Linked DNA regions of Saccharomyces cerevisiae S288C. Changing the gene in region 2 together with the main gene of any one other region gives a genetic interaction. Each region holds a gene or a part of one and is shown on either strand. Other genes may lie near its edges. The genes, in order: PFK1, PCK1 and ADE6.

Region 1 (11,240 bases), on a different chromosome or scaffold from region 2:
GGTGGTATGAATATTGAAGAGGTGGCTGAGAGAACCCCAGATGCTATAAAGAAATTTTCAATTGAAACTTCAAAGGGATTGAGCCCACAAATGGCCAAGGATGTTGCCAAGAGTCTCGGTTTCAGTCCCGATGCACAAGACGAGGCAGCAAAAGCTGTTTCCAATTTGTATAAAATATTCATGGAAAGGGATGCTACACAAGTGGAGATTAACCCTTTGAGTGAAATTGAACATGATCCAACCCACAAAATCATGTGTACAGACGCCAAATTTGGGTTTGATGATAACGCATCATTCAGACAGGAAAAGATATATTCCTGGAGGGACTTATCACAAGAAGATCCTGATGAAGTTAAGGCAAAGAAGTATGATTTGAATTTTGTTAAGTTGAAGGGTAACATTGGATGTTTAGTCAATGGTGCTGGTTTGGCTATGGCTACTATGGATGTCATCAAATTAAATGGAGGCGATCCTGCGAACTTTTTGGATTGTGGTGGTGGTGCCACCCCTGAGACCATCAAACAAGGTTTCGAATTGATCTTATCCAATAAGAACGTAGATGCAATTTTCGTCAATATTTTCGGCGGTATCGTAAGATGTGACTATGTTGCCCTGGGGCTGGTAGAAGCCGCCAGAGAACTAGAAGTTAGGGTCCCCATTGTGGCACGTTTGCAAGGTACCAAAGTAGAAGAAGGCCGCGACATTATCAATAAGTCAGGCGTGAAGATTTATTCGTTTGATGAATTAGATCCTGCTGCTAAAAAGGTCGTTGAATTGACCCAAAATTAAGCTTCTCGAGAAAAACAAAAGAGTTAATAATAAAGTATATATGCTTTTTTACTATTAATAAAGTTTCTTATTTTCCCTACATGTATACATACATATAAATATACTCTTTTGGAAAAAATTTCTTTTTTTTTTTTTTAATTTTTTTATATTTTTCCATCTTTTGATGTAATATAGAGGTTATATAATGAAAGAATATATAAGAGGTCATAAAAAATCATTAAAAAAATGCGAGTTCAGGAACATATTATCGTTTACGTAATCAGTGCGTTATTGGCGGATTAGTACCGATCACACCTTTGTTCATCGATGTGGATGCAGTTTGCTTTGCTGCGACGGCTGCAGGAGTCTCCCCTTTTATTATGTAGTGAATAACCTGTTTAAAAGAATCACCGTTCCGTATCCTAAAGTTAGCAATTCTTGTTAGATGGTAGCCTGCAGTGCAACCCAGGAAAAAATTGACGGAAGCTAACAGATAGTTCTTGGGCTTGATGACAAACGACCAACGCGTCCAAATCAGTGCCGTCGCTAATAAAGATAAATTTTGTGCTCCTGATACCTTCTCAACAGGCCTCTTAATATCATTTAGCCCTGCGAAGACCAGCCCCCACTTCAAAGTTGGGGCCCAGAAGTGTACTGTTTTAGGGCCTGTTTCACTATTCCAAAATCTTCTAAAGGCAAAATTAAAAGCTGATGCTGACATTAAAAATATAGGTTTGTGTTTCTATGTGTCTTGAATGCTTATGCGTATAGTCTTAAAGACTGATTGTATTCTTTTTTTTTATATGAAGTATTTCCGCCGTAATGAAAGGGAAAAGAAAATTTTCTCCAATACTCCAATTGCAACGCACCATATTATCCGGGAGAATACACGCACGCAGCCGCATATATATATATGATGGCCTTAGTTTTGTTTGAGCCTTTCGGTTTTGCGTGACCAAACCAGGGAGCGGCTCGCTTGACCCGCCCACGGAATGACGTAAAGCCGTTAATAGCCGATTGGCGGGAGAAATAAAAGCGGGGCACTCCCAAGATGAGGGGTAATCGGGGTAATAATATCCAATCAAGGAGGAAAAGGGCCAAATGTTACCCGACTATCCAAACTGCAGGGTAACCTTTATTTTTTCTTTTCTTTTACTCCTACCATTTTTTTTTTCAGATTTTTCCCAGTATGGCTTTGTTTTCATTTTGCTTTGGTGGAGGGATAGATTAAGTTTGCAGCTGCGTAGAAAAGTTTCTTTTCTACATTCGAGGAAAAAGTCGACTTATTAGTCTGGTTAACTTGTTATTAGGGCTTCTTGCTTGAGTTATAATTTTAGAAGGAGAAAAAATAAATCTGTAGCAGGAGTACCAATTTGCTACGCTTGCTAACATCTACGAGAGTAACAATATCAAGCATACAAGCGCGACTGTCTCGGCTACCCCTATAATAGATATAGAGGCGTGTTTGTGAAACAATGTCTTCATTATATACTAAGTTGGTTAAAGGGGCGACCAAAATAAAGATGGCCCCTCCAAAGCAAAAATATGTGGACCCTATTCTCTCGGGCACTTCGAGCGCAAGAGGATTGCAAGAGATTACCCACGCATTGGATATAAGGTTGTCTGATACAGCCTGGACCATTGTTTATAAGGCATTGATTGTGTTGCATCTGATGATACAACAAGGCGAAAAAGATGTCACGCTAAGGCACTATTCCCATAATTTGGATGTTTTCCAATTGAGAAAGATTTCGCATACTACTAAGTGGTCTTCCAATGATATGAGGGCTTTGCAGAGATACGACGAATACCTAAAAACACGTTGTGAAGAGTATGGCAGGCTAGGTATGGATCACCTACGAGACAATTACTCCTCGCTAAAGCTGGGCAGTAAGAACCAGCTTTCAATGGATGAAGAGCTAGATCATGTTGAATCATTGGAAATTCAAATTAATGCCTTGATAAGGAATAAATACTCTGTTTCAGATTTAGAAAACCATTTGTTATTGTATGCATTCCAATTGTTAGTACAAGATTTACTAGGTCTGTACAATGCTCTTAATGAAGGTGTCATTACACTTTTAGAATCATTCTTCGAATTGTCCATTGAGCACGCAAAAAGAACACTGGATCTCTATAAGGATTTCGTGGATATGACAGAATATGTTGTTAGATACCTAAAAATAGGAAAAGCTGTCGGTTTGAAAATCCCCGTTATCAAACATATTACTACAAAGTTAATTAACTCCCTTGAGGAGCATTTGAGAGAGGAAACAAAAAGACAAAGAGGTGAACCTTCTGAACCGCAGCAAGATAGAAAACCATCTACGGCCATTAGCTCTACCAGTAGTCACAATAACAACAGCAATGACAAGAATAAGTCTATAGCGCAGAAGAAACTGGAACAGATAAGGGAACAAAAAAGACTGCTGGAGCAACAATTACAAAACCAACAGTTGCTCATTTCCCCCACGGTCCCACAAGATGCTTACAACCCATTTGGATCACAACAGCAAGATTTAAATAATGACACCTTTTCATTCGAACCAACCCAGCCACAAATGACCGCTCAAGTCCCTCAACCAACTGCTAACCCCTTCTTGATACCGCAACAACAGCAACAGGCTTTACAGTTGACATCTGCGTCTACAATGCCACAACCAAGTGAGATACAGATTACTCCAAATTTGAATAATCAACAAACTGGGATGTATGCTTCTAACCTTCAATACACCCCAAATTTCACCGGCTCAGGGTTCGGCGGATACACGACCACCGAGAACAATGCAATTATGACCGGCACTTTAGATCCAACAAAAACGGGGTCTAACAACCCATTTTCGCTAGAAAATATTGCCAGAGAACAGCAACAACAAAATTTCCAAAACTCCCCAAATCCTTTTACCCTCCAACAAGCACAAACCACCCCGATTCTTGCTCATAGTCAAACAGGTAATCCATTTCAGGCTCAAAACGTGGTGACATCACCAATGGGCACATACATGACGAATCCCGTGGCCGGTCAACTTCAGTATGCCTCTACTGGTGCGCAGCAGCAACCACAAATGATGCAGGGTCAGCAAACAGGGTATGTTATGGTTCCCACTGCGTTTGTCCCCATCAATCAACAACAGCAACAACAGCAGCATCAGCAAGAAAATCCTAACTTAATAGATATATAGTGAGCGATAGATACTACAGTTTTTTGTTCTCAACAGGCCGTCCTTGCATATTATAAACTCTGATTTTTAGGTAATCCCTTCCACCTTTCTATATTTTATGATACTATCCAAACATGTAAATTTTACGTACCATACATATAACCTCATCTATAATTTTTACCCTGATCTAACTAACTTTGGCATGCCTGGTTCAATCTACGGGTTACAGTCATCGTTGAAAACGATGGAAAAACATGTCGAGATTCCTCAATCCATACACCATTATAGTCCGTTTTATCAGCTTCCACTAATTTTTTAAATCTCAGTTTCTTCTTGAAATTTAGCATCGTGCATGGGATAGCGGCTAGTAAAAAAGAAAATTAATATCTCATTAACAAAGTTATTGTACATAATCCGGTACAATATTCTTCAATGTACTCTCTAATATCGAGCACACTGGCAATATTCATGCACACATTCGCCTAATGCTGACGAATGCTTAATCAGTGCAATTACTGCCACCCTCTTGATATGTGGGCTAAATCCTTTAGGACCTGTAAAAAATGCAATCACGTTTTCACATTTTTTTTTTTCTTGCGGAATTGCGGAATTTCCCAGTTGGCAGCGTTATCCGATTTGAGATCGACTTGCATCAACCTTTGAAAAATATAAGGATGAGAAAGTGAAATCGGTTTTTTTTTTCCATTGTCGTCATCAACATGATTTTTTAAATAAATAAATACGATTTTTTATTTTTTTTCCCTTCTTTGTTTTTGTTTTGCTTATTCCCATCTTCATTATTAAATTCTTCCGCTCTTAATAAAGGAGTTTTTTTATTATCTTCTTGTGTAATCATCCTTTTTCTTTAATTTTCTTCCTTTTCTTTTTCTCTTTACTGGTTTTTTTACTTCTTTATTCTCAACCATCTAAAGAATATTATTGCTTTCTACCAATAAAATCTGTTAATTCTATTTGGATTGTCGTCTACTCAAGTCTCGCCTAGTAAATAAACGATAAACAAATTTGAAGTAAGAATAACAATATAGGGAGAGAAATTTTTCTATTTTTAATTTCGAAACAGGTACCAAAAAATCTAAGTTCACTTTAGCACTATTTGGGAAAGCTTTTATATAAAAAATCTGAAACAAAATCATATCAAAGATGCAATCTCAAGATTCATGCTACGGTGTTGCATTCAGATCTATCATCACAAATGATGAAGCTTTATTCAAGAAGACCATTCACTTTTATCACACTCTAGGATTTGCAACTGTGAAAGATTTCAACAAATTCAAACATGGTGAAAATAGCTTACTATCTTCAGGGACTTCCCAAGATTCCTTGAGAGAAGTTTGGTTAGAATCTTTCAAGTTGAGTGAGGTTGATGCTTCTGGGTTCCGTATACCACAACAAGAAGCTACTAACAAGGCTCAAAGTCAAGGTGCTCTATTAAAGATTCGTTTAGTGATGTCTGCTCCAATCGATGAAACTTTCGACACCAACGAAACCGCCACAATCACTTATTTCTCTACTGATTTGAACAAGATTGTCGAGAAATTCCCAAAACAAGCCGAAAAATTGTCCGATACCTTAGTGTTTTTGAAAGATCCAATGGGCAACAACATCACCTTCTCAGGCTTAGCTAATGCAACCGATTCCGCTCCAACTTCCAAAGATGCTTTCTTAGAAGCTACCTCCGAAGACGAAATCATCTCTAGAGCTTCTTCCGATGCTTCTGACTTACTAAGACAAACATTGGGCTCTTCTCAAAAGAAGAAGAAGATTGCTGTCATGACTTCTGGTGGTGATTCTCCAGGTATGAATGCCGCTGTTCGTGCCGTTGTTCGTACAGGTATACATTTCGGCTGTGATGTTTTTGCTGTTTACGAAGGTTACGAAGGTTTACTAAGAGGCGGTAAATATTTAAAGAAAATGGCTTGGGAAGATGTCAGAGGTTGGTTAAGTGAAGGTGGTACTTTGATTGGTACTGCTCGTTCTATGGAATTCAGAAAGCGTGAGGGTCGTAGACAAGCTGCAGGCAATTTAATTTCGCAAGGTATTGACGCTTTGGTTGTTTGTGGTGGTGATGGTTCTTTAACCGGTGCTGATCTTTTCAGACACGAATGGCCATCTTTGGTTGATGAATTGGTTGCAGAAGGTAGATTCACTAAAGAAGAAGTCGCCCCATACAAGAATTTGTCCATTGTTGGTCTTGTCGGTTCCATCGATAATGATATGTCTGGTACTGACTCTACCATTGGTGCTTATTCTGCTTTGGAAAGAATCTGTGAAATGGTTGACTACATTGATGCCACCGCTAAATCCCACTCCCGTGCCTTTGTTGTTGAAGTTATGGGTAGACATTGTGGTTGGTTGGCCTTGATGGCTGGTATTGCTACCGGTGCCGATTACATTTTTATTCCAGAAAGAGCTGTTCCTCACGGAAAATGGCAGGACGAATTGAAGGAAGTGTGCCAAAGACACAGAAGTAAGGGTAGAAGAAATAACACAATTATTGTCGCTGAAGGTGCTTTAGATGATCAATTAAACCCTGTTACTGCCAATGACGTCAAAGATGCTTTGATTGAATTGGGTCTAGACACCAAGGTAACCATTCTAGGTCACGTTCAAAGAGGTGGTACAGCTGTTGCTCATGACAGATGGTTAGCTACTCTACAAGGTGTCGATGCTGTTAAGGCCGTTCTGGAATTTACCCCTGAAACTCCTTCTCCATTAATTGGTATTTTAGAAAACAAGATAATTAGAATGCCATTGGTTGAATCTGTGAAGTTGACTAAATCTGTTGCCACTGCCATTGAAAACAAAGATTTCGATAAGGCAATTTCTTTAAGAGACACAGAATTTATTGAACTTTACGAAAACTTCTTATCCACTACCGTTAAAGATGATGGTTCCGAATTATTGCCAGTATCTGACAGACTAAACATTGGTATTGTCCATGTTGGTGCCCCATCTGCTGCTTTGAACGCTGCCACCCGTGCCGCAACTCTATACTGTTTGTCTCACGGCCATAAACCATACGCTATCATGAATGGTTTCAGTGGATTGATTCAAACCGGTGAAGTGAAGGAACTATCATGGATTGATGTCGAAAACTGGCATAACTTGGGTGGTTCCGAAATCGGTACGAACAGATCTGTTGCTTCAGAAGATTTGGGTACCATTGCTTACTACTTCCAAAAGAACAAGCTAGACGGTTTGATTATTCTTGGTGGTTTTGAAGGTTTCAGGTCCTTGAAGCAATTGCGTGACGGTAGAACCCAACACCCAATCTTTAACATTCCAATGTGTTTGATTCCAGCCACTGTTTCTAACAACGTTCCAGGTACTGAATACTCACTTGGTGTTGATACCTGTTTGAACGCATTAGTCAATTACACTGATGACATCAAACAGAGTGCTTCTGCGACAAGAAGAAGAGTCTTCGTCTGTGAAGTCCAAGGTGGTCACTCTGGTTACATCGCTTCTTTCACTGGTTTAATCACTGGTGCTGTTTCAGTGTACACTCCAGAAAAGAAGATCGACTTAGCTTCTATCAGAGAAGATATAACTCTATTAAAAGAGAACTTTCGTCACGACAAAGGTGAAAACAGAAACGGTAAGCTATTGGTTAGAAACGAACAAGCTTCTAGCGTATATAGCACTCAATTGTTGGCTGACATCATCTCTGAAGCAAGCAAGGGTAAGTTTGGTGTTAGAACTGCTATCCCAGGCCATGTTCAACAAGGTGGTGTTCCATCTTCTAAAGACCGTGTCACCGCTTCCAGATTTGCTGTCAAATGTATCAAGTTTATCGAACAATGGAACAAGAAAAATGAAGCTTCTCCAAACACTGACGCTAAGGTTTTGAGATTCAAGTTCGATACTCACGGTGAAAAGGTACCAACTGTTGAGCACGAAGATGACTCTGCTGCTGTTATCTGTGTTAATGGTTCTCACGTTTCCTTCAAGCCAATTGCTAACCTTTGGGAAAACGAAACCAACGTTGAATTAAGAAAGGGTTTTGAAGTTCACTGGGCTGAATACAACAAGATTGGTGACATCCTGTCCGGTAGATTAAAGTTGAGAGCTGAGGTAGCCGCTTTAGCCGCTGAAAACAAATGAATGATTGCAATGAAAAGTTTAAGTTAAGCAAAAGGAGGTAAAAATGGCATGCACTTTAATTTTTATACAATCGTTTTTTTGTCATAAGACTTATTTATGTATCTGTTGTTTTTCTTTTTCTATCCTCTATTTTTGTCTATTTGTCTTTGTTTTACTCTTTTTCATTATTATTTCTTTATATAATTTTTGTACGATATGATACACATAACAATGAGCAATGAACATATTTCTAATCCTAACCATTAGATATACTTTTCAACTGAGGAATAATGGCGCCTTGATTAAACTAAGCTATGGAATTTGCATTATTCAAGTTTTAGGGTGTGCTTAATCTGCGTTGACAATGGTTCACGAAGACGACATCGGCAACTTTGCTGTACTACAAATTGCTCTGAATGTGAGGCTGATCCACATCATAGTGAGGCGCGCTACCTTAATTGTAGTCGTATTGTCATCGGTCTACGAATACCGTTTGGTTTATTTGTCGGCCTTTTTTCTTTCCGTTTCTTTTTATCTTTCCGCTGGAAAAATGGAAACTAGTGCCGATAATCGGAGATGGGATGACTAAATATTTCTTTAAGGCATTGGCAATGTTCAAACCTCTGATAGAACGGCAGATATATATTTAAGAGAATATAGTCAAGGTTGACGCCGCATACTTTGGTTTTGTTTCAAAAAGAAACAGGTGAAAAATTATAAAGACCAAACTAGAATACCATGCCCAGTGTCTGCCATACAAGCCCGATAGAAAAGATTATCCAACAAGGGCATCGCATACAGAATGATTCCTTAATACCGTCAAAACGCACCAAGCTGGCCCATACGGAATTAACAGCACACTATGCCACTGAAGACTCGCATGTGGAAAAACACTTTTTGCATAATGGTAGTAATTTTGACGGCATTGACAATGTAAGGTATCAAAATCAACCCTCTCCATTAACCTTCATTACTCCAAACAACACTGTAGATTCCAGTGATTGGGTTCCGCAGTTCTCGTCTATGAAGATTGACGATTCACTAGAGTTTAGCTCAGAATATAAAAGGTTGTATTCCAATTACGAGTCACAGCAGCGCCTGAATTCAAGCAGACAACACTTACCTTTTAAGAATTGTATGATAAGGAAGACAAGTTGCACTTACCCACCTCAAAAGACGCTTCGACAGCAACGCCAAGGAAACCGGGACAACCCAACGGATGCGTTTCAATTCGACGCGGAGTTCCAAGTTTTGGAGAGAGAAATTCAAAAAGAGCGGTACGAGCCCATAACACGTCGGGACGAGAAATGGTTCGACCAAGATCAGTCGGAACTGCAAAGGATTGCCACAGATATAGTAAAATGCTGTACTCCACCGCCTTCGTCTGCATCCTCCTCTTCTACTCTTTCCTCCTCTGTCGAATCAAAACTATCTGAGTCGAAGTTTATTCAGTTAATGAGAAACATTAGTAGCGGTGACGTGACTTTAAAGAAAAATGCAGATGGAAATTCCGCAAGCGAGTTATTCTCATCCAACAACGGGGAACTGGTCGGAAACAGGCACATTTTCGTCAAGGACGAAATTCACAAAGACATACTTGATTGATATAGGCAGTTTCTACAATTGTACCTCTTGTAACTACTACATACGTTGATATATGTTTACAGATAGCTAAGAATATCAAAATCATGAATATGTGCCCTTATGTGTTCTCTGCGCTGAGGAGTATCGCAGCTTCACTCCTGCAGATGCATGCCCTACCTACTGTCATGCCCATCTCTCTCGTTTAAAACTTACTACACCTTTTTTGTGCATGGATTGTGCTGATGTAAGCTGCACGAAATGACACGCTTGTGAATTTTTTCTTCTCTTGGGAGAAACTGTGAAGAAAAAAAAAAAAGCTTCGCAAAACCCGAATTAGTCTCGAAGGAAGTAATTACCTTGTGAAAGGGTCTTTTGGGATACTAATTTATTATGAAGTTTGGTTTTGGTGTTGCTTGCTCTTTTTTTTTTCAATTTTGAAATGCGTACACGTGAATTTTAGCATAGGTTGTAACAAAAAAAAAAAATGATTTGGATGAGGCAGGCAACCCCTTAAGTAGCTATGGTACCTTTCAAGCTGACAAATAAGGTACCTACGGACACGGGACCTTCTCTGATTTCAGCGCAAAGTGTACCCAGACCAATAGTTTTTATGGATAATCGAAACAATACGCGAATAGTAACACCTACGCTACCTCCAAACCAGCATAGAGGCATATCAGGCGCGTCGACTGCTCTTCCCTGGTCTCCAGAGAGTAAGAATACAGGGAAGTATATTTGGAATAGGGTCAAACTAAAAAACTCTCCGTTTCCCCGTTATCGACACTCTTCCTCATTTATTGTTACGAATGATAACAGGATTTTTGTGACCGGTGGACTTCACGATCAATCGGTATATGGGGATGTCTGGCAAATAGCCGCTAACGCGGATGGTACGAGCTTTACTTCCAAGAGAATCGATATTGATCAAAATACACCTCCCCCAAGAGTGGGACATGCCTCTACTATATGCGGTAATGCCTATGTTGTGTTTGGTGGCGACACACACAAGCTGAATAAGAACGGACTGTTGGATGATGATCTTTATCTTTTCAATATTAATTCTTATAAGTGGACCATACCACAACCTATCGGCCGTAGGCCGTTGGGCAGGTACGGCCATAAAATTTCTATAATTGCTAGCAACCCTATGCAAACTAAACTATATCTTTTTGGCGGACAAGTAGATGAAACTTATTTTAACGATCTGGTCGTCTTTGATTTATCATCATTCCGTAGGCCGAATTCTCATTGGGAATTTTTAGAGCCTGTCGGCGACCTGCCTCCTCCTTTAACAAATCATACAATGGTGGCATATGACAACAAATTATGGGTATTCGGCGGGGAAACTCCCAAGACAATAAGCAATGATACATACCGCTACGATCCAGCACAAAGTGAGTGGTCTAAAGTTAAAACCACAGGAGAAAAGCCTCCGCCAATACAAGAGCATGCTAGTGTGGTGTATAAACATTTAATGTGTGTGTTAGGCGGTAAGGATACCCATAACGCATATTCCAACGATGTCTATTTTTTAAACTTATTATCGCTAAAATGGTATAAGCTTCCCCGTATGAAGGAGGGCATACCTCAAGAACGCTCTGGACATTCTTTAACCTTAATGAA
Region 2 (9,749 bases):
ACACCGCTGGTCCTTTAAGTTAAAATAATATGAATGGTGGAAGAACCCAGATCAACTTGACTGAAACAAGTCTGCCAACATAGACAGCTAAGAAAATTGATGACAAGCAAACGGGAAAAGTCACTGGATCACACATTGTAAGTAGAAGCAGTTTTTCAATGGGAAGACCGCACTGCATAGTTTACTAACTATTTAAACTTTCCAAACATTAGAGAACTAAAGATACCGTTTGAAACGGAGCGACAAGCGACCATAGCAACCAAAGTCCTATCTCCGGACCCGATTTTGAAGCCACAAGATTTTCAAGTAGACTACAGTTCCGAGAAAAATGTCATGCTAGTCCAGTTCAGAAGCATTGATGATAGGGTGCTTCGAGTGGGAGTTAGCAGTATCATAGACAGTATCAAAACCATTGTGGAAGCCATGGACGTTCTATCATAAATAATTAGAACACCGTATTAGTGTACATATAGTATAAGTATCTAGACGGCATTCATGCACATCATAACTTAAATATTTAAAATAGCATTAAGATAAAAAAATAAAGAGAGGTATAGTTGCTAAATGTCCTGGGGTTGCGTGTAAATAAACAATTGTTTGCTTTGAGTAAAGCAAGCATGTGGATGGTAGATGAGGCCTTATTTACTCCCATTAGCTGGGTAACGCAGAAAGTTTTAATATGAAAGGGTGACGGCGCTTGGCGTTTTTCTTGGATTGTAGAAGTCATGCTAGGCCCTTGGAGTAAGATAAGAGAGAACAAATAAAAGCTTTGGCAAATATCAACTCAGACGTCTTTTTTAAAGAGGATATAGAGCTTTGGTGTTGGCCTATTTCCCATCGCTGTTAAATTTCCGCTTTTTTGTTTTTTTTTTCCCTAAATTTGAGGAACAGCTGTTTATATTGATTTCCTTCTTTCCTGGTGCATATTGGTTGAATCATCAACGCTTAACGACTAACAAATTAGATCCAGAGTTACAGACGGGTGAGATTCATATATAGACCGAAGGAGTTTCACAATCCACTATATTATGCCAGAAACCTCTGTTCAGAATCCATTAAGGCTTTCTGAAAATGAAAATACTCGTTCGATGTTTCTGTCTGCATCACAGCAGCAGCGGCCATCTGCCACTCCATCCTTCCCTAGGTTGGTACGGAATACCACAGCAAATTTGAGTTTATCAGATTTTCAAGTGTTAAATCCGTCTTCTAAAAGGCAAAATTCAAACTCGGTTTACGATGATATAAATAGCAGTAAGAGGCGAATAAGTAGACCTAGATTTTCAGATATCGAAGGAAAAAATAATGACCATACTTACCCAGAAAGAACAACAGTCAAGGAATCAGAGAAAAATCCTTCTCCCAGATATGTGAGTAGTTCGAAAAGGGCCCTGAAAAGGGAAAACTCAGTTGGAATTACTCAATCCTCTGCATTGATTTCGAAATCATTTAGTGAAAACGGCGGAAGCATTGCACATGAGAAATGGAGCCCGGAAAATATGATAAAACCACTGAACGTTTCACAGAATTCGCTAGCTTTCGTGGATGCAGGGTCAGATGAACAGTCCAAGAGTGAAATTGTAGGCGGTTTCCAGCGTAAATCTAATAATAGTCAAGAAATCAACGACAAGGATAACAGTGCCCGAGATCAGGATTTCAATAACAGTGGCAACAACAACAATAATAACAATCACAGTAGCAATAACAATGACAATAACAATAATAACAACGACGACAACAACAACAACAATAACAGCAACAGCCGTGATAATAACAATAATAGTGATGATAGTAATGAAAGGGAAGAAAATGATTCCTGCAAGCCAGCAAGTAATAAGAGATCGGGCATTGCTCTAATACAAAAATTACAAGAATTGTACAAAGTGATAGTTAAGCAAGAAATTGAATTGCAGGAGCGGTGCTCACAACTAACAAACTCTCAAACCACCGAACTAAAAAGCTTGTGGACTATCTATAAAATCAATACAGATCTTGTTAACAATTATGTCACTTTTATCACTACAGCTTTACTACCATCCCAACCGCCTCACGATTTGGTCATCGGCCAAGAAATTGTCGAAATATATAGGATCGAAAGAAGGCTATGGGTTTACGGCACGATAACATTTCTAGACGTTCTAAAGAACTTTTCTAACTTCATGGATCCTGAAGTTTGCTGCCAATTTATCACTCACGTCTTTGTTTCATTATCAACTATGATTTCTGACATACCGTCCAAATATTCTATCACTTGGTTACAAAGACTAGGAGACTTATCAAGAATGGCTATAGCACTATATCCCTCGAGTTTTATCGATTGGAAACTGAGTGCTGAGCATTGGTATACTGAGGCGATGAAATACATATACAATCATGGAAAGCTATATTATCATATGTCTACCGTACAGCAAAACACTCTTGAAGCTTTTGTAAATTTGGGGAAAAGCGTCTTTTGTCAGGAAACATTCACTCCGTCTCCGCAATATATGCAATTGGTTATTGATAACATTTATCAAAGAGCCTTTGTAGAAAGAAATAATGGCAATCTTAGAAACTCTTTATTAATTGAGTATTTGAAACATAGTGAAGCCATGCTATTACCCAGTTTTTTAGAAAGTCCAGATTTACAAAATGTCGTGTTGAGCTATTTCATTGAAAAGTTCGGTATAGATGCAAACGGTTGTAACATTTTTAACGCAGAAGATATGTTTGTTCAGAATCCTGATTTTTTCAAGTATTTCTTCAGGCATGGCCCCTCTTTTGCACAATCGCATATTTTACAAATTGTTGGATTTGGAGAGCCAAAAAACCCATTTGCAATTTTATTTGAATTGCCGAAGTATTTGAAGGAGAGGAAAGACAAGAAGGAACGTAAAAAATCTTCAAATAATGACTCCTCCGTGACGGAAAGTTCAACGGGCAATAGCCGAAATGACAACGAAGATGACGATGAAATAATGAGTTCTACCACTTCCATATCTGATCACGATCTCTTAGCAGAATTCTTCAATGACATCGATACCTTAAGGCGTCCGATACTGCCTTCAATGCTAACAAACGAAGCATGGTTGGAAACATTAAAGTTTCTAAATATGACCTCATTAAAATGCGGTATAATAGTGCTTCGGAAGTTTCTACATGGGCCTTTAGGTATCGCATTACCCCATATCTTACCATGGATATACTTTATCATCTCAATTTGTTTGAAAAGCAGCCAATTGAGTGATCCAGTTAGTAAAGAATTCTGGATGATTATTGTTAAGAGAGCTTTTCCATGGGATACAATGGTTACCTTTATGAATGTTTTGATTGTGTATTTATTGGATAACCAAACATCGAACTCTATTATTGGAGATTTATGCGATGACTACGATAAATTAAGCCTTTCTGAACTTTTAGAATTATTCAATGAAGGCGAAGAATTACCAGAAATTTTGGGCTGTTGGGGAACATTGTGGTTTGACACAATTTGCGAAAAGAATACGCATTCGATTAGTAGTGAAGATAATTTTCAAGAAATCGGTATAAAAGATTATATGGCATTGGATTCGCCGACAGATGGAATTATATTTGATGAAAAGGACGAAAATGGTGAAAAATTCTGGAAAAGGGCATGCAGAACCATATTTCTTTTTAGAGAGCTGTCAAGAAGTTTTCCAATAGGCGTAATAATCAGAAACGATCCGTTGATATATCGTTCATCATTTCAAAATACTAATATATTGGGAAGTTTAGTCTTCAAACTCGAACCCTTGTGCAATATACACAACAATATACCAGTATTAGGTGCCCTGGAAAGTATTATTGACATATCTGAGGCAAGAAGTGAAAACAACACTGATCTGCACGCTGTGCCGGAACTAAGTGTCAACGAGGGCGATAATATCTTCCACTATGTTGGCTACAAGAAACTTCGTGCCGATTATACGTGCTTCGATAAAAATGGAGAATTTTTAAGCGCCTCGCTTTACACTACATGGTATGTCCCGAACAGCAACAACACTAACATAGAGGACAACATCAATTATAACAGCGAAAAGGAAAATGAAGGTCTATTTCTGGAATGTATAAAATCTGATTATCCAGAAATAGATTTTAAAACTACATACTTTGTCTTTGATGCAACTTCTTGGCTAAGACATTCCGCACGCATATTCAAGCTAGCTCAAAACAGACTGCTAAGATTTGCCATTTGTTTAACCACATTCCAAGAGCTGAGATTTTTACGAAAGTCAAAGGACGAAAACGTCATGGAGGCTGCCACAAGAGGTATAATAACTATAAGGCAGCTTTACTATGAGAATAAAGTATTACCCCTAAGATTCACAGGTAATGTAGCGACACACATCGAAGAGAACTTAGAATTTGAAGAACAAATAACATGGAGGACACATGTCGACGAGTTTGTCATCGAATCCGTAATGAAGGCGCAAGAAAAACTAGAGAGTGCCAGCGAACCGCGTCTTTCCCCTCGCCGCTTTAACTACGTAGTTCTGATATCTGACGACGACGCCATGAAGAAAAAAGCAGAAGAAAAAGAAATAAAAACGCTAAGCACACGATTTGTGTTTTCTTTGTGCACAAAACTTGGCGAACAGCGCCATCTGTGTACAGACTGATCGTTCGTTGTACGTACATTTACAACAACACCAATTCTACTCACCGCCATAAATAACACTTTAATTTTAATATATACTTTTATATGCATATAACCAACTGACTTCCATACAATTCTGACCAGAGCACTTGGGCAGAGCCCCCACCCAGGGCCTTGTCGGAAAAAATCGGAATATCCCACACGATCCACCGGAGAATATCGGGACGCTGACGGGTGAATGGAGATCTGGATTTCCTAATTTGGATACATCTCTTTTCTTTTTTTGACTCACAATAGGAAAAAACCGAGCTTCCTTTCATCCGGCGCGGCTGTGTTCTACATATCACTGAAGCTCCGGGTATTTTAAGTTATACAAGGGAAAGATGCCGGCTAGACTAGCAAGTTTTAGGCTGCTTAACATTATGGATAGGCGGATAAAGGGCCCAAACAGGATTGTAAAGCTTAGACGCTTCTGGTTGGACAATGGTACGTTTGTGTATTAAGTAAGGCTTGGCTGGGGATAGCAACATTGGGCAGAGTATAGAAGACCACAAAAAAAAGGTATATAAGGGCAGAGAAGTCTTTGTAATGTGTGTAACTTCTCTTCCATGTGTAATCAGTATTTCTACTTACTTCTTAAATATACAGAAGTAAGACAGATAACCAACAGCCTTTCCCAGATATACATATATATCTTTATTTCAGCTTAAACAATAATTATATTTGTTTAACTCAAAAATAAAAAAAAAAAACCAAACTCACGCAACTAATTATTCCATAATAAAATAACAACATGTCCCCTTCTAAAATGAATGCTACAGTAGGATCTACTTCCGAAGTTGAACAAAAAATCAGACAAGAATTGGCTCTTAGTGACGAAGTCACCACCATCAGACGCAATGCTCCAGCTGCCGTTTTGTATGAAGATGGTCTAAAAGAAAATAAAACTGTCATTTCATCAAGCGGTGCATTGATCGCTTATTCCGGTGTTAAAACCGGAAGATCTCCAAAGGACAAACGTATTGTTGAAGAACCTACCTCGAAAGACGAAATTTGGTGGGGTCCGGTCAATAAACCATGTTCTGAAAGAACATGGTCTATCAACCGTGAAAGAGCTGCAGATTACTTGAGAACAAGAGACCACATTTATATTGTCGATGCATTTGCAGGATGGGATCCAAAATACAGAATCAAAGTCCGCGTTGTTTGTGCCAGGGCTTACCACGCTTTATTCATGACAAATATGCTTATTAGACCTACAGAAGAAGAATTAGCCCATTTTGGAGAACCTGATTTTACTGTCTGGAACGCTGGTCAGTTCCCAGCCAATTTACACACCCAGGATATGTCTTCAAAGAGTACTATAGAAATTAACTTCAAAGCAATGGAAATGATCATTTTAGGTACCGAATACGCCGGTGAAATGAAAAAAGGTATTTTCACAGTTATGTTTTACTTGATGCCTGTGCACCATAACGTTTTAACTTTGCACTCTTCCGCCAACCAGGGTATTCAAAACGGTGACGTTACTTTATTCTTTGGCCTAAGTGGTACCGGGAAAACCACTTTATCCGCAGACCCACATAGATTGTTGATCGGCGATGATGAACATTGTTGGTCCGACCATGGTGTCTTCAATATCGAAGGTGGTTGTTACGCCAAGTGTATTAATTTATCTGCCGAAAAGGAGCCTGAAATTTTCGACGCTATCAAGTTTGGTTCTGTATTAGAAAACGTTATCTATGACGAGAAGTCGCATGTAGTCGACTATGACGACTCTTCTATTACTGAAAATACTAGATGTGCCTACCCAATTGACTACATTCCAAGTGCCAAGATTCCATGTTTGGCGGACTCTCATCCAAAGAACATTATCCTGCTAACTTGTGATGCTTCGGGTGTTTTACCACCAGTATCTAAATTGACTCCTGAACAAGTCATGTACCATTTCATCTCTGGTTACACTTCTAAAATGGCTGGTACTGAGCAAGGTGTCACTGAACCTGAACCAACATTTTCATCTTGTTTCGGACAACCCTTCCTAGCCTTGCACCCTATTAGATACGCAACCATGTTAGCTACAAAGATGTCTCAACATAAAGCTAATGCGTACTTAATCAACACCGGCTGGACTGGTTCTTCCTACGTATCTGGTGGTAAACGTTGCCCATTGAAGTACACAAGGGCCATTCTGGATTCTATTCATGATGGTTCGTTAGCCAATGAAACGTACGAAACTTTACCGATTTTCAATCTTCAAGTACCTACCAAGGTTAACGGTGTTCCAGCTGAGCTTTTGAATCCTGCTAAAAACTGGTCTCAAGGTGAATCCAAATACAGAGGTGCAGTTACCAACTTGGCCAACTTGTTTGTTCAAAATTTCAAGATTTATCAAGACAGAGCCACACCAGATGTATTAGCCGCTGGTCCTCAATTCGAGTAAACGAAACATGTTCGTTCGATATGTTCAATCCAAAAAAAAAAAAAAGAATTAGAATTATTTCGACATCATAAATGTTCGTAATATATTATTTTGTCAATTTTTTCTCTTCCCATTTCAGCTTTTTTTTAATAACTGAAACTGGATCAACAAGCACATGTTTTTCTAATTAATCTTTCAAACATATTTATGTATATACATAAGGAAAATTCAAAAATCCGATGCAATTAACAGAATTCTTCTTCATAGTTCTCTTCATCCATTCTTTCGTAGAATAAGACGTATACCTCATCGCTAGACATTTCTGTTTTGCCGGCTTCAAAGTTGTTGCGATCCTTGCGATGTTGCTGTATATAATCGTCATCAAATGTAACCCAAACTTGTCTATTCAGTCCAATTTCATGGCTCTTTTCTTTGTTCACAACAGAAGTATAGTGTCCATTGATAAGGTTACCGGAATGATTCACCGTTCCATATAACTTGTATCGAATCACTTTACCGTTCTTTAAAATAATGTTCAATATCAAAGGGTAGGTTATTACAGTGCTGTTTTTTTTTGTTAAATCATAATAGAACCTTGATAAATGAATGACAAGTATCGGAGGTAAAACTATAAAGTCTAAACTCTTAATCGTGGTTAACTTTTTAGAATTTCGCTTCTTTGCATTTTTTGTTGAATCATCGCTGCTATGGTGATGATGGTGATGATGGTGGGGTGATTTTGACCTTGATCTGGAATGAAAACCGAATATGGTTGATTTTTTCTTCTGGCTAGTAATTTCTTCTTTTTTGGATTTAGAATCAGTAATTCTACAATTAGGACAATCCCAAGCATTGTCGCCTGACAGTTCTTCATCGCCTGTAAATAAGTTTATGCAATCCTCTAATTTAATTTTTCTCGACTTACTTGTAAAGCTATACAATGATAGTTTTGGAATCGCAAGTGACAGAACATAGAAGGTAGAATAGCTATAAGAAGAATTACCACAGCGCTGACATTTCAAAATGTTCTCCAACTGCCCTCGATATATGTGATCAATTGGAGATAAACCATCAGTAATAACATTTCTCTCGTACCATTTCTCGTATTTGGATGGGTTAACTTGTAAAGCATTCGCATCATATGACACTAGATCTGGATAATACTTGACAACATTTTCGTTCGAGAGCTCTTCATGTATTCGTGCTAAAACTATTAGTAGAAATTCCTGTGTATCCTGTTGATCATCTGGGATGTTCAAATCTGGCCTTAACTTCTTGCACATTTTTAAGAATCTATTTGGTATAATCGCTCTTCCTCCATTCAAATACATTTTTTTGAACAAAACGTAAATCGAGCGGGAAAGTTGGACTTCTTTCGGATATTTGTTAGTATTGAGGAATAGCCTATATTTCTTGGTTAAAAACAAATCCCGAAATAAGGTAGTGCCAAACAGACATTGAATTATACTGTTAATATAGCATGTATTGCATGGATTTTGCAGGCCAGTAATAGATAACTCTGATAACAGATCATTAGAATCTTCAATTACTGGTAGATTGTAAGCTTTCGGGGCCGAAGATTCTATGGCCTCGATCTTTCCTTCTTCCTCCTTTGGCTTTTCCACCTTGGATAAAGAGGATGAAGAATCTTGGCTAGAATCTCTGATTTGTGACGAAACCTCCAAGGAGTGCACGGGGGGAGCAGTTGCTGGACTAGACAGCGTTTTGAATAATGCATCCTTTCCAGTACTGAGTTTTAAATACGAGGGTTTTGATAATGCTTCTTTGCTTGTGTAGTACGCCACTTCAGAACCAGCTTCCAATTTATTACTTGATGCTATCTGATTACTTTCCCTGACTATGTCCTCTTTCGAATTATCATTTGTTGGTTTTGTTAGCTCATTCGGTATTTCATGTAGTGAGCCATCAAACTTGTTATGTATTGACAAAGAGGCCATATGAACAGGTAAAGGCCGTAGCGGTAAGGAGTAGGCTCTTTTTCTTTTTATGGTCCTGCAAATTCCGTTTGACTCCGCTAAATACCGGTCAACAATAACAGTACTTTCATCTCTTACCACTTTTAACACATAACCCATCACGTGTTCGTCTTGATAGTCGTTTTTTAGCTTTGCGTAACTGCTGTAGAGATTATTTCTTGTTTGGAATTGTAACGATTGTGGAATAATAAGGTACAGATAATAACAACCAATAATAAATGCTGTCAAAGCTTCCATTTCCTGATTGATTTCTAAATCCCTCAGGTAAACATTAAACAGATGAGCAGCATGGTCTAACAATCCTCTTAAGTTCTTTAGCCGTAATTGCGAATAAAACTGTTTAATATCTACTTCATATACTTTTCGAACTAGGTTTAGAATTTGATCTGGGTTTAATAACATTGTCTTTATGACTTCCGATTTAGCGAAAAGAAAACGGAAAGTAAGATCAATGCCACGGTTATTTAGTTTACTGAAGATCCTGAAAGACTACTAGCAGTAGCAGTAACCTTTCAGAGCTTATAATCAACCTAATGATTACTCAGCGCACAATCTAAAAGGGTTTCTCAACTAATTCTCGAAGAAATGTCAATCCCTTTTTTAAGCACTCCGGAAAAACTTTATAATAGATGTGGGGAAATCACCTTTGACGATGTGCAACGGAGAAACTATTTTTTTTTTTCTTTTTTTCTTTTTTTTTTTTTTTTTGGTCCGAACAATGCGATGAGCCAGACGA
Region 3 (12,259 bases), on a different chromosome or scaffold from region 2:
TATTTGGTAAGTAAAACGTTAGCGAGGATATGCTGCAACCATCATTGCTGAACAAGTTATTGGCAACCTACTTATGCGGAGGACTAATGATTACTCAACGTTCTTCTTGAGACGAATGATTACAACCTTACAACCAAGATATAAAAACTTTAGTTTAAGCCCAACTTTATTACAATATCCTTAGACGGCAGCTGGCTCGTGGGATTTTTTCAAGTGTTAGTCCGGTTCTGCAACTACTGCTGAATTCGGCTGCATTGAAAAGCTCAAATTAAAATCATCGTCAATTATTCTCATTACTTCAATCTTTGCTAGTACGCCTTTCACATGGCCTGTCGATCCTATGCTCCTACAACTAAAATGTCCTTTACTAACATGATTGCCTCCATTGCTACAATTGCGTCAGCTAAGATACTGCCGTAGTCTACTAGAAAATCATCATTAGTTCACCCGAAATGGCTCTGAGATTATGAATCACTTTAGGATGATTTACACAGAAAGCGCCGTACCGCCTCCGAGACTCTTTCACCCAACTGTGAAAGGAAAAAAAAATGTGTGAAATGAAAAAAAAAGTCGAAATATGAGATGCAAGGCTAAGTTTGATGATAGCCATTCCCAAAAATCTGCATGACTCTTACGGCTATAACATAACTATATATAAAGGCTCTACACCCACGAGCAATCGCCTTTTCATTTGTTTCAATTTTCAAAAAAGGACCGACACAAATCAATAGATAATGACAATTTCGAATAAATCGTGGAGGAGCTACTTCCCACATTTGAGAAAACTACCCGAAGATGATCAGTACTTATACTCAGACGATACTAACTCCAGTATCATAGCTGAAGAGGAGCTACATCATAGCGTAGATAAGTCCTCGAAGACAGACGTTACGGCAGAAACTACAGCTGTAGAACCTCATCCTCACAATTTAAGGCATGACTTGCCATATGAAGTGAGAGATGAAGCTGGGCGTAAATGGTGGAAATATTTTGATGAATTCGAGTATCGTGTTAATAAGGAATACAAGAAATCACGTAAGTGGTACGAGTTTTTGTATCCTAATCATACTACTCAAACCAAGGCTGAAAGACGGCTTCTTTACAAGCTAGACATTATTATTGCTTTATACTTTTTTATGTTATGTTGGTCCAAGTCAGTGGATTTGAATAACTACACTAACGCATATGTTTCCAATATGAAGGAAGATTTAAACATGAAAGGTAATGATTACGTTTACACTTCTACTATTGCTAATGTTGGTGCCATTGTCTTCCAATTACCATTTATGTATTTGTTACCAAGATTTCCCTCTCATATTATTTTGCCTGTAATGGACTTGGGCTGGACTTGGTTCACATTTGCATGTTATAGGGCAAACTCACTAGCCGAACTAAGGGCTTACAGATTTATTTTAAGTGCCTTTGGCGCTGCTTACTACCCAGTGTCCCAATATATACTAGGTTGTTGGTATGCCCCAGATGAAATTAATTCAAGAGTCTGTTTATTCTTTTGTGGGCAACAATTGGGTTCCGTGACTTCAGGACTTCTGCAAAGTCGCATATTCAAAAGTTTGAACGGCGTCCATGGTCTAGCAGGCTGGAGATGGATGTTTCTGATCGATGCCATTGCAATTTCTCTTCCCACGGCTATTATTGGTTTTTTTGTTATTCCCGGTGTACCATCTAAGTGTTACTCTTTATTTCTGACTGACGAAGAAATACGAATTGCAAGGGCCAGAAATAAGAGGAACCAAATCAAAGATGGTGTTGATAAAAGTAAGCTAGCCCCATTATGGAGCAGAAAACTTTGGAAGAAAGTATTTTGTACTCCAGCATTCTGGGTACTTGTTGTTTTTGATACATGTTCGTGGAATAACATGACTGCGTATAGTGGTTCATATACTTTGTGGTTAAAGTCTAATACAAAGTACTCCATTGCCCAAGTGAACAACCTGAGTGTTATACCCGCATGTTTAGGATTTGCGTATGTGATTTTTTGTGCCTTTGGTGCCGATTTATTTAGATGTAAGTGGATATTCATGGTTTTTGCTGCTATAATGAATACCGTTTCTTGTGCCTTACTTATCAAGTGGGATATTCCTTCGAAAGCTAAATGGTACGCTTTCTTCACCACGTATTTCAGTGTGGCCGCATCGCCTTGTCTATGGTCGTTTATTAATGACTTCTTAAGGTTTGATCCTCAGGTGAAGGCTATTACATGGATCGCCATTTATTCCTTCTCTCAATCCACTTACGCCTGGATTCCTACCTTGGCGTGGCCTACCGTGGAGTCACCACGTTTTAAGACTGGTTACACCGTGAGCTTAATTTTTGGTGCTATTTACGGTTTATGGACGTTTGTTGTACTTTTTTTTTACAAGAGAAACGAAAAGAAACATGCTCTAGGTAATGGTATCATCTTGTATGATAGTAATAAGGGTGAAGAGCTTCCAGAATTTGTAAAGAAAAATATGGAGGAAAGAGATGGTTACTACTATTTAAAGCGGTCCTCGTAGTCCAATTTACGTGAAGTAGATAGGTATATTACGCTTTAGACACCATACCTCAAATAAATATATTCATGTATATAATTTAATCATCTTCTATCTATAATTAATCTCGATGTTGATAAAGGTCACCTTATACGTTCTATGAGTGAAATCGAGTGAAAAAGTGAAATTTAAGAAAGGGCTCGAAGGATGTACTGTGTAATAATTACACCTGGCCACATTCAGTTTGGCAAAAGCGAACGAGGTACAGTGTAAGAGATGTCTAGTGAAAGAGCCTGTATGCTGTGTGGCATAGTGCAGACCACAAATGAGTTTAATAGAGATGGTTGTCCCAACTGTCAGGGTATTTTTGAAGAGGCAGGTGTTTCTACAATGGAATGTACGTCGCCTTCTTTCGAGGGCCTCGTAGGAATGTGTAAGCCTACTAAGTCGTGGGTAGCAAAGTGGCTGAGCGTAGATCATAGTATAGCTGGTATGTACGCCATCAAGGTCGATGGTAGACTACCAGCTGAGGTTGTGGAGCTGTTGCCTCACTACAAACCGAGGGATGGCAGTCAAGTTGAGTAAAACCTTCCGTTCTGATATCACATGTATAATAGTAATGAATTTTTTTTACTTTTTTTTTTTTTTAGTAAATATTCTAGCATATGAGTTTATGCTTTCATTTATTTAACGTTCTGCACTTTTGTTTTTGCTGGCAAACCCAATTTTTCTACCGTCCAGTAATTCAACTAAGGCTAAAAAGACTTTCATTAGAAAAAAAAGGTCCAAGGATAGGAAAATTTCAAGATAAAGTATGGCATTATGTTAAAGAGGTTAGCCAATCGTCAAAATGGTTTTGCGTCATTCTCGTGCAGCTCAGTCGGTCTGCGATATGGTAGGACTAATCCAAGTACAAAGAGAAGCTTTTCACTTTTTCAAAGTGTAGCGGACACGTTTTTAACAGTGCATGAAGCCTCACATATACCATGGATAGTGCTTGTTCCTTTGACTACTATGACCCTTAGAACCCTCGTGACGCTGCCATTCAGTATATGGCAGCGGAGGAGAATTTTGAAACAACAAGAACTGAGGAAATTAGTACAGCCAATAACGCCCATTATTAAACTTCGACTGGCAGCCGTTACTAATAAAAAGTCTAGAAATGCCGCCAGAATTAGCTCCAACGGTTCTTTCATGCCGTTACAACTACAGAATGCTGGCGTTTTGACACCAGAACAAATTACACTATTGGCAGTGAAAGAGACAAGAAAGAGGCAGAAAAAATTATTCAAGAAGTACAATGTACCCCTATGGAAAAATGCCTTACTGCCAATGGTGCAAATTCCTCTTTGGGTCACAGTCTCCATGGGCATCAGGACCCTAACAGAGACACAGCTTATAGAAAGTTTTTATCCTTCCTGGTTTTCCGCACTGGGTTTCAGTTCCTTTGATCTAAGCTCACCGCTAGTAGCAATGCCTCTACTAGCGCCCATTTTGGTGGGGACTCTGGCGGTATTAAACGTGGAACTCAATGGCCGACTGATGTTTAGCTCAAGTTTGTCATCGCAAGGTATAAAGACAATTTCAAGGAATTCGACAAGAGTCCAAGAGGCAATGACTAGTATACTGAACGTATCGAGACTCGGTTGTGTCGTTATGCTAGCAATGTCCTCACAGGCTCCATTCCTTCTTTCGCTCTATTGGATATCATCACAGCTATTCTCCCTGGTGCAAAATATCATATTAAATTGGATTTATCCTTACCAACGATGAGTGAAGCTGACGCATAGATAGGATATGTAATTCTACATCAGCTTGTAAATAAACAAAAATGACTTTCAATATCCTTCAACCGTTCCTGACTCTTTCCTGCTGACCCGTTTTTCCAAATTTCTCGTCGAACTTGAAATTGAAAAAAAAAAAAAAAAATTGAATGAGGACTCATTAAACAGATGATGCCGTAATAAATGCAATATATCTTGCTATTTAACTCTTTCTTTCTTTGAAAACCTTGACATACGTATTTAAATAATTGGCTGTCCCTGCCTCGAAGTATATTTCTCTTCTACTTTTATCTTAGCGATATCCCTAAGAGTTTAATCCTCCCAGGTCCATAACAAAAGAAGTCAAGTTCAATGACTGATTATATTTTGCCGGGTCCCAAGGCCTTATCTCAGTTCAGAGTCGATAATCTAATTAAAGATATAAACTCCTATACAAACAGTACTTCTGTCATCAATGAATTGCGTTCGTGTTACATTCACTATGTCAACGGCATCGCTCAAAATTTGTCTGAACAGGACACTAAATTGCTAGAAGTTTTGTTGACTTACGATTCTGCTTTAGATATTGCTAACGATCCATTAGCAAGACAATTAAACGATGCTGTCGCTAATAATTTACCCAGTTCAGCTCTTGGCGAAGACACATATTTGATTAGAGTTGTTCCTAGATCAGGCACTATCTCTCCTTGGTCTTCCAAGGCTACTAATATTGCTCATGTATGCGGGCTACAAGACAAAGTTCAACGTATTGAAAGAGGTTTAGCCTTACTCATAAAGACTGTTCCAGGTTTCCCTCTTTTGGAAAATCTAAATGATATTTCATTGAAGTGTGTCTACGATAGGATGACACAACAATTATATCTGACCGAACCACCAAATACGATGAGTATTTTCACACATGAAGAGCCAAAGCCATTAGTTCACGTTCCTTTAACTCCTAAGGACACTAAACAGTCTCCAAAGGATATTTTATCCAAAGCTAATACGGAATTGGGTTTAGCTCTAGATAGTGGAGAAATGGAATATTTGATTCATGCATTCGTCGAAACTATGAAAAGAGATCCTACTGATGTTGAGTTATTTATGTTCGCTCAAGTTAATTCTGAACATTGTCGTCACAAGATCTTCAATGCTGATTGGACCATTGATGGAATAAAACAACAATTCACCTTGTTTCAAATGATTAGAAATACCCATAAATTAAACCCAGAATATACTATTAGCGCCTATTCTGATAATGCAGCCGTTTTGGATAGTGAAAATGATGCCTTTTTCTTTGCACCAAATTCAACTACAAAGGAATGGACCTCTACAAAGGAAAGAATTCCATTACTTATCAAAGTCGAAACTCACAACCATCCAACAGCCGTGTCTCCTTTCCCAGGTGCTGCTACAGGTTCTGGTGGTGAAATCAGAGACGAGGGTGCTACAGGCAGAGGTTCCAAGACTAAGTGTGGTTTGAGTGGATTCTCTGTCAGCGACCTTTTGATACCAGGTAATGAACAACCTTGGGAGTTGAATATTGGTAAGCCTTACCATATTGCATCTGCATTAGATATTATGATTGAGGCTCCTTTGGGTTCAGCTGCATTTAACAATGAGTTTGGTAGACCTTGTATAAACGGTTACTTCAGAACTTTAACTACAAAGGTTTTGAATCACCAAGGGAAGGAGGAAATCAGAGGGTTCCACAAGCCAATTATGATTGCGGGTGGTTTCGGTACTGTTAGACCTCAATTTGCTTTGAAGAACACCCCAATAACTCCAGGCTCTTGTTTAATTGTACTTGGTGGTCAATCTATGCTGATTGGTTTAGGTGGTGGTGCTGCTTCTTCTGTAGCTTCCGGTGAAGGTTCCGCCGATTTGGATTTTGCTTCTGTACAAAGAGGGAACCCCGAAATGGAACGTCGTTGCCAACAAGTGATTGACGCTTGTGTTGCCTTAGGTAACAATAATCCTATCCAATCTATTCACGATGTTGGTGCTGGTGGGTTATCCAACGCTTTGCCAGAATTGGTTCATGACAATGACTTGGGTGCTAAATTCGATATTAGAAAGGTCCTCTCCTTAGAACCTGGTATGTCACCAATGGAAATTTGGTGTAATGAATCACAAGAACGTTATGTTCTTGGTGTTTCTCCTCAAGACTTATCCATTTTCGAGGAAATCTGTAAGAGAGAAAGAGCACCATTTGCTGTCGTCGGTCACGCAACCGCTGAACAAAAATTGATTGTAGAAGATCCTCTTTTGAAAACAACTCCAATTGATTTAGAAATGCCAATTTTATTTGGTAAGCCTCCAAAGATGTCAAGAGAAACCATAACTGAAGCACTAAATCTACCAGAGGCAAATTTGAGCGAAATTCCTTCCCTACAAGATGCTATTCAAAGAGTTCTAAACTTACCATCTGTTGGCTCAAAGTCATTTTTGATTACTATTGGTGACAGATCCGTCACAGGTCTAATTGATAGGGATCAATTTGTTGGTCCTTGGCAAGTACCTGTTGCGGATGTCGGTGTTACCGGTACCTCTTTGGGTGAGACAATAATTTCCACAGGTGAAGCCATGGCTATGGGTGAAAAACCAGTTAACGCCCTAATCTCCGCATCTGCTTCCGCTAAATTATCTGTGGCAGAATCTTTATTGAACATATTCGCTGCTGATGTGAAATCTTTAAATCATATCAAGCTATCTGCTAACTGGATGTCTCCAGCCTCTCATCAAGGTGAGGGTTCTAAGTTATATGAAGCCGTTCAAGCATTAGGTCTGGATTTATGTCCTGCATTAGGTGTTGCTATCCCTGTTGGTAAGGATTCCATGTCCATGAAGATGAAATGGGATGATAAGGAAGTTACTGCACCATTGTCATTGAATATCACAGCATTTGCACCAGTTTTCAACACTAGTAAAACGTGGACTCCATTGCTAAATAGAAACACAGATGATTCTGTCCTTGTCTTGGTTGATCTATCAGCTAAACAAGAGACTAAGTCACTAGGTGCCTCTGCTTTGTTGCAAGTTTACAACCAAGTTGGTAACAAGTCGCCTACTGTGTATGATAACGCCATTTTGAAGGGTTTCTTGGAAAGTTTAATCCAATTGCATCAACAAAAGGAGGATATAGTGCTTGCCTACCATGATAGGTCTGATGGTGGTCTACTAATCACTTTACTGGAAATGGCATTTGCTTCCAGATGCGGCTTAGAAATCAACATTGACGGTGGAGACCTAGAAAGTCAATTAACAAACCTATTCAATGAAGAATTAGGTGCAGTATTCCAGATTTCTGCTAAGAACTTGAGCAAGTTCGAAAAAATCTTGAACGAGAACGGAGTTGCTAAAGAATATATTTCTATTGTTGGTAAGCCATCCTTCCAAAGCCAGGAAATCAAGATTATTAACTCCACAACAAATGATGTAATTTACGCCAATTCGAGATCTGAATTGGAGCAAACTTGGAGTAAGACATCTTACGAAATGCAGAAATTGAGAGACAATCCAAAAACAGCCGAAGAAGAGTTTGCCAGTATCACGGACGATAGAGATCCCGGTTTGCAGTATGCCCTAACATACAACCCAGCCGATGATATGAAGATCGGATTAGAATTATCCAGTCAAAGGCCAAAGGTTGCTATCTTAAGAGAGCAAGGTGTGAACGGTCAAATGGAAATGGCATGGTGCTTCCAACAAGCTGGATTCAACTCAGTGGATGTCACTATGACAGATTTGCTAGAAGGTAGGTTCCATTTGGATGACTTCATCGGTCTTGCCGCATGTGGTGGTTTCTCTTATGGTGATGTCTTAGGTGCAGGTGCGGGTTGGGCTAAATCCGTATTGTATCACGAAGGTGTGCGCTCGCAATTTTCTAAGTTCTTCAATGAAAGACAAGATACATTTGCTTTTGGTGCTTGTAATGGTTGTCAATTCTTGAGTAGATTAAAAGATATCATACCCGGGTGTGAAAACTGGCCAAGTTTCGAAAGAAATGTTAGTGAACAATATGAAGCCCGTGTATGTATGGTGCAAATATCTCAAGAAAAGGACAATTCTAGCGAGGAATCTGTTTTCTTGAATGGCATGGCAGGATCCAAATTGCCAATTGCTGTCGCACATGGTGAAGGTAAAGCAACATTTTCTAAAAGCGCTGAACAACTGGAAAAGTTCGAAAAGGATGGTTTATGTTGTATAAGGTATGTGGACAACTACGGTAACGTCACCGAAAGGTTCCCCTTCAACCCCAATGGGTCGACCAATGGTATTGCCGGTATCAAGTCACCAAATGGTAGAGTGCTTGCCATGATGCCACATCCTGAAAGAGTTTGCAGATTGGAGGCCAATTCCTGGTATCCAGAGGGCAAATACGAAGAGTGGGGTGGATACGGTCCATGGATTAGATTATTCAGATCTGCCAGAAGATGGGTCGGTTGAAAGATTTTTGTAGTTTTTGTATATGTAGTTTTTAAGTTTGAATAATAATTAGAAAGAAGCTGTCTTTTATTTATAGCATTTAATAATGGGTTTGCTTGTTAAAAATTTATCATAAATAGTATGTATATATATATATATATATATGGATATGTATACGTGGTAATGAACGTGTATACATATATTTAAAAGATTGCAATATAGTTTTTAGAATTAACCTGAATTAATTTAAAAATCATATATTAAAATAAACAATTGTGAAGGTAAAAAGAAAGAGTTAGGGGAGGTCAAACAAAGTAAAAAAAAAAAAAAGGAAAAAAAGCGGTTCGAAATTTATTTCATTTTATACGTTTTTTTGTTGTTTTTCTTTTTTTTTTTTTTGAAGTATGTTTCTTCTCTTAGTTAGTCTTCTTTTGAGCATTGTTTTCAGCTCTCTTCTTCATTCTTTCTTCTCTGGAGGCCTTAGCTTCTGGACCAGATTCAGTGTCTAGACAGTAATCCCACCATCTGAAAGAGGAAGCGTAGTTACCAATAAAGTAGTGATGATGCAAATCGTGGTGTTCAGCGCCAGCCCAGAATGGCATGATCTTGTTCAAAGACCATGGGAAGTCATAACCAGAATGAGAGTCAACAGCTTGGAATAATCTTAGGGTGATCCATACACATAGAGTGAACAAGTGTAATTTACCAGTGTACATGACGTAAAGAATTGGCATACCAACGGTACCAAAACCCAAAGACAAAGTTTCAGCAGGATGAGCATATTCAGCAGAAAGACCGAATGGAGCAGCGTATCTGTGATGTTGCTTGTGAATGTACTTGTAGAAGACACCGTAGTGGAATAGACGGTGAGCCCAGTAATGCCATGTATCTTCCAAGACGAAGAATAGACCAATTTCTAGAGCCATTGTTTTCAAAGATGGGAATGGAACTTCGACAGTAATACCTAATTTTTCACACATTGGGTGGAAGGTCCAGATAGGGATGGCCTCGACCAAGAAATGAGATAGAAGAACGGATTTCAAACAGTATAGTTGTTCCTTAGCACTTGGAATCTTAGTTGGTTGTAACTTCCATCTTCTAAAGTATGGAATTTGGTCGATGATGAACCATGGCAAACATCTAAAGAAATACATAAATTCATGCAATAAAAAGAACATTAGACCGGTGGCCAAAACATCATTGTTCATGTAACTGTACCATGCGGCCCAGTATTTCTCCATGAAATTCAATTGAGGTTGGTAATGGGCGACATTTTGCAAAGTTTGTGAGTAGGTGCTTGCTTGGACTAGACCTGAAAGGGTAGCGTTGTTGAAAACGGCAGACATCTTTTCCTCTTTTTTTTATGGCTGTACTACTTTTCCTTAGTCCTCTATGCTACTATCTAAAGAGAAAAAGTTACAACTAATATAAAGATTTACTGGAAGGAAAGAAACGAAGAGAGAGAAAAAAGGGAGAGAAGAAGAGAAGAAGAAAAAAAAGAATAGATCCTCCTGTATTATATATTATATAGAAGTATGCATACACAGGCGTACGCATACAAGAAAATGTACATGCATAACGGATTAATCGTGTGTATATAGTTTAAACTGCGCAGAGAATGAATAATAATAATACGACCACAGCAGAGGCGAGGCAAGCAAGAAAAAAAAAATTGGTGGGAAAGCGATGCGATACGGTGGCAAAGGGCCTCTTCCTCGACGGTTTTGTGCCAGGTGCCTTGAGGTTGCTGACTGTTATCGGTCATTGTTAGTTGCTATTGTCCTAGTGCTAGTCGTTTACCGTATACGATCTCTGTGTCCCGTATACGAAGGGAGGCAGTGGTAGTGGCAGTGGCCGTTGCGGAGCTGGCTAAACGACATCTGGGCGTAAACGACACCCGATAACTGGCTCTGCTCTTTCCTGCGAGATGGTTCTATCGGACCAAGGCCCAAACGGGTTTAAACGGCTGCCCTCCGCACCCGCACGTGACTACACCGGGTAACGAATGGATTGCGTAATATACCGATTTTTACTTTTTACACTTTTTTGTTTCCTATACGACGCGGACGAAGAGAAAGTCTTCTGCGCCAAGGCCGAAAAGAAAAATTTGAAGAAAACATTCTCAGATGCGAATCTACTTTTACATCATCTTCTACGTAGGCCCTTTTTTAGTTCCTTTTTTTTTTCTCCCTCGGTCTGTTTAATCATAGTAAAATCAGATATTGTCAAAAATTGTATTCATTGAATGGAGAGTACTTAAACTTCACATCCTAACATTAGAGATGCCAGAAAAAACATATAGGTATAAGTGAAATCATCATTATGATAAACGAGACGGATGAAAGGAGAAAAAACTGAAAAGAAAAAAAGGGCGGATTGACAATTCAAGAAAAAGGCAAAAAGTAAAGGAAGGTAACATCACTTGATATCGCACCCTTCTTTGCATTGCCTTGTGGTTACCGTACCACTCTTGCTTATGATTTTTTTTTCTTTTTGCGCGCGCTAGGCTGAAATGTAGAGGTTCAAGGTATGATAACAGCGGACAAAGGTATATGATGTCGCGCATTTGATGCCTTAAATACAATTTTTTTTTTTCCCTCCTCCGTCGAAAAAACGCTGTGAAGAATAAAAAAAAATTGTATTTTGTATTACCCGGATTTACTTTAGTCTCACATTGTATTGTTAGGGTTTTGCTACTTATGGTAAAACTGCCGCTAAAAAAATATTCATTTCTATCCTAATTGTATTTTTATTATGTAGAGCAAAGCTTGCGCGAAATTATTGGCTTTTTTTTTTTTTTAATTAATACTACCTTTTGATGTGAACGTTTACTAAAGTAGCACTATCTGTGGAATGGCTGTTGGAACTTTTTCCGATTAACAGCTTGTATTCCAAGTCCTGACATTCCAGTTGTAAGTTTTCCAACTTGTGATTCAATTGTTCAATCTCTTGGTTAAAATTCTCTTGTTCCATGAATAGGCTCTTTTTCCAGTCTCGAAATTTTGAAATTTCTCTGTTGGACAGCTCGTTGAATTTTTTCTTAGCTTCTAATTGTCTAGTTATAAATTCAGGATCCCATTCTGTAGCCACCTTATCCATGACCGTTTTATTAATTATTTCATAGCACTTGTAATTTTTGAGTTTGTTTTCCTCGATTTCATCGAAGTTCATTTCTTCCTCCAAAAATTTCCTTTGTTCTTCCGTTATGTCAACACTTTTCGTTGTTAAGCAATCTCTGGCCTTTAATAGCCTAGTTCTTAGCATTTCAGATCTGCATTTTTCATAATAATCCTCGGTACTTTCTACAAGATCAATTAAATTCCAATCAAAAATCGTCTTTTGCAAGATTTTGAAGTCACAGTACTTTTCATTTTCAATGTCAACAGCGCCCCATTTGTATTGTCTTCCTTTAACTTTTTCGCCCTTTTCATTAAAAATGTACTCATTAGATGCAATTATACTGAATGGATATTTTTGAAAAATATCTTGTGTTGCATTCAAAACTTCATCGCCGAAAAAGAAACATACAGGGATATCTTGTACTCTTATTATTTCTCTAACTTGTGTTTTGAAGTT

What was found.
Region 1: of PCK1 (region 2) and PFK1, changing one suppresses a phenotype caused by changing the other (phenotypic suppression), as found in Saccharomyces cerevisiae (one study listed by BioGRID).
Region 3: mutations in PCK1 (region 2) and ADE6 together harm fitness more than expected from each alone (negative genetic interaction), as found in Saccharomyces cerevisiae (2 studies listed by BioGRID).

What each region holds. Positions count from the first base shown.
Region 1 is NC_001139.9:967,585-978,824, reverse strand, and holds PFK1 (6-phosphofructokinase subunit alpha), read left to right. Parts: upstream 1-5,090; coding exon 5,091-8,054; downstream 8,055-11,240. Other genes in the region: LSC2 (succinate--CoA ligase (GDP-forming) subunit beta), read left to right, coding at 1-789; MPC3 (mitochondrial pyruvate carrier), read right to left, coding at 1,049-1,489; YAP1802 (Yap1802p), read left to right, coding at 2,244-3,950; YGR240C-A (uncharacterized protein), read left to right, coding at 4,048-4,248; PEX21 (Pex21p), read left to right, coding at 8,772-9,638; KEL2 (Kel2p), read left to right, coding at 10,138-11,240. UniProt on the Saccharomyces cerevisiae protein: Catalyzes the phosphorylation of D-fructose 6-phosphate to fructose 1,6-bisphosphate by ATP, the first committing step of glycolysis.
Region 2 is NC_001143.9:625,765-635,513, forward strand, and holds PCK1 (phosphoenolpyruvate carboxykinase PCK1), read left to right. Parts: upstream 1-5,387; coding exon 5,388-7,037; downstream 7,038-9,749. Other genes in the region: chromatin DNA-binding EKC/KEOPS complex subunit PCC1, read left to right, coding at 100-137, 213-441; ESL2 (Esl2p), read left to right, coding at 1,029-4,616; ubiquitin-specific protease UBP11, read right to left, coding at 7,262-9,415.
Region 3 is NC_001139.9:608,334-620,592, reverse strand, and holds ADE6 (phosphoribosylformylglycinamidine synthase), read left to right. Parts: upstream 1-4,627; coding exon 4,628-8,704; downstream 8,705-12,259. Other genes in the region: VHT1 (Vht1p), read left to right, coding at 735-2,516; transcription elongation factor SPT4, read left to right, coding at 2,769-3,077; membrane insertase COX18, read left to right, coding at 3,315-4,265; ERG25 (methylsterol monooxygenase), read right to left, coding at 9,100-10,029; septin SPR3, read right to left, coding at 11,492-12,259. UniProt on the Saccharomyces cerevisiae protein: Phosphoribosylformylglycinamidine synthase involved in the purines biosynthetic pathway. Catalyzes the ATP-dependent conversion of formylglycinamide ribonucleotide (FGAR) and glutamine to yield formylglycinamidine ribonucleotide (FGAM) and glutamate.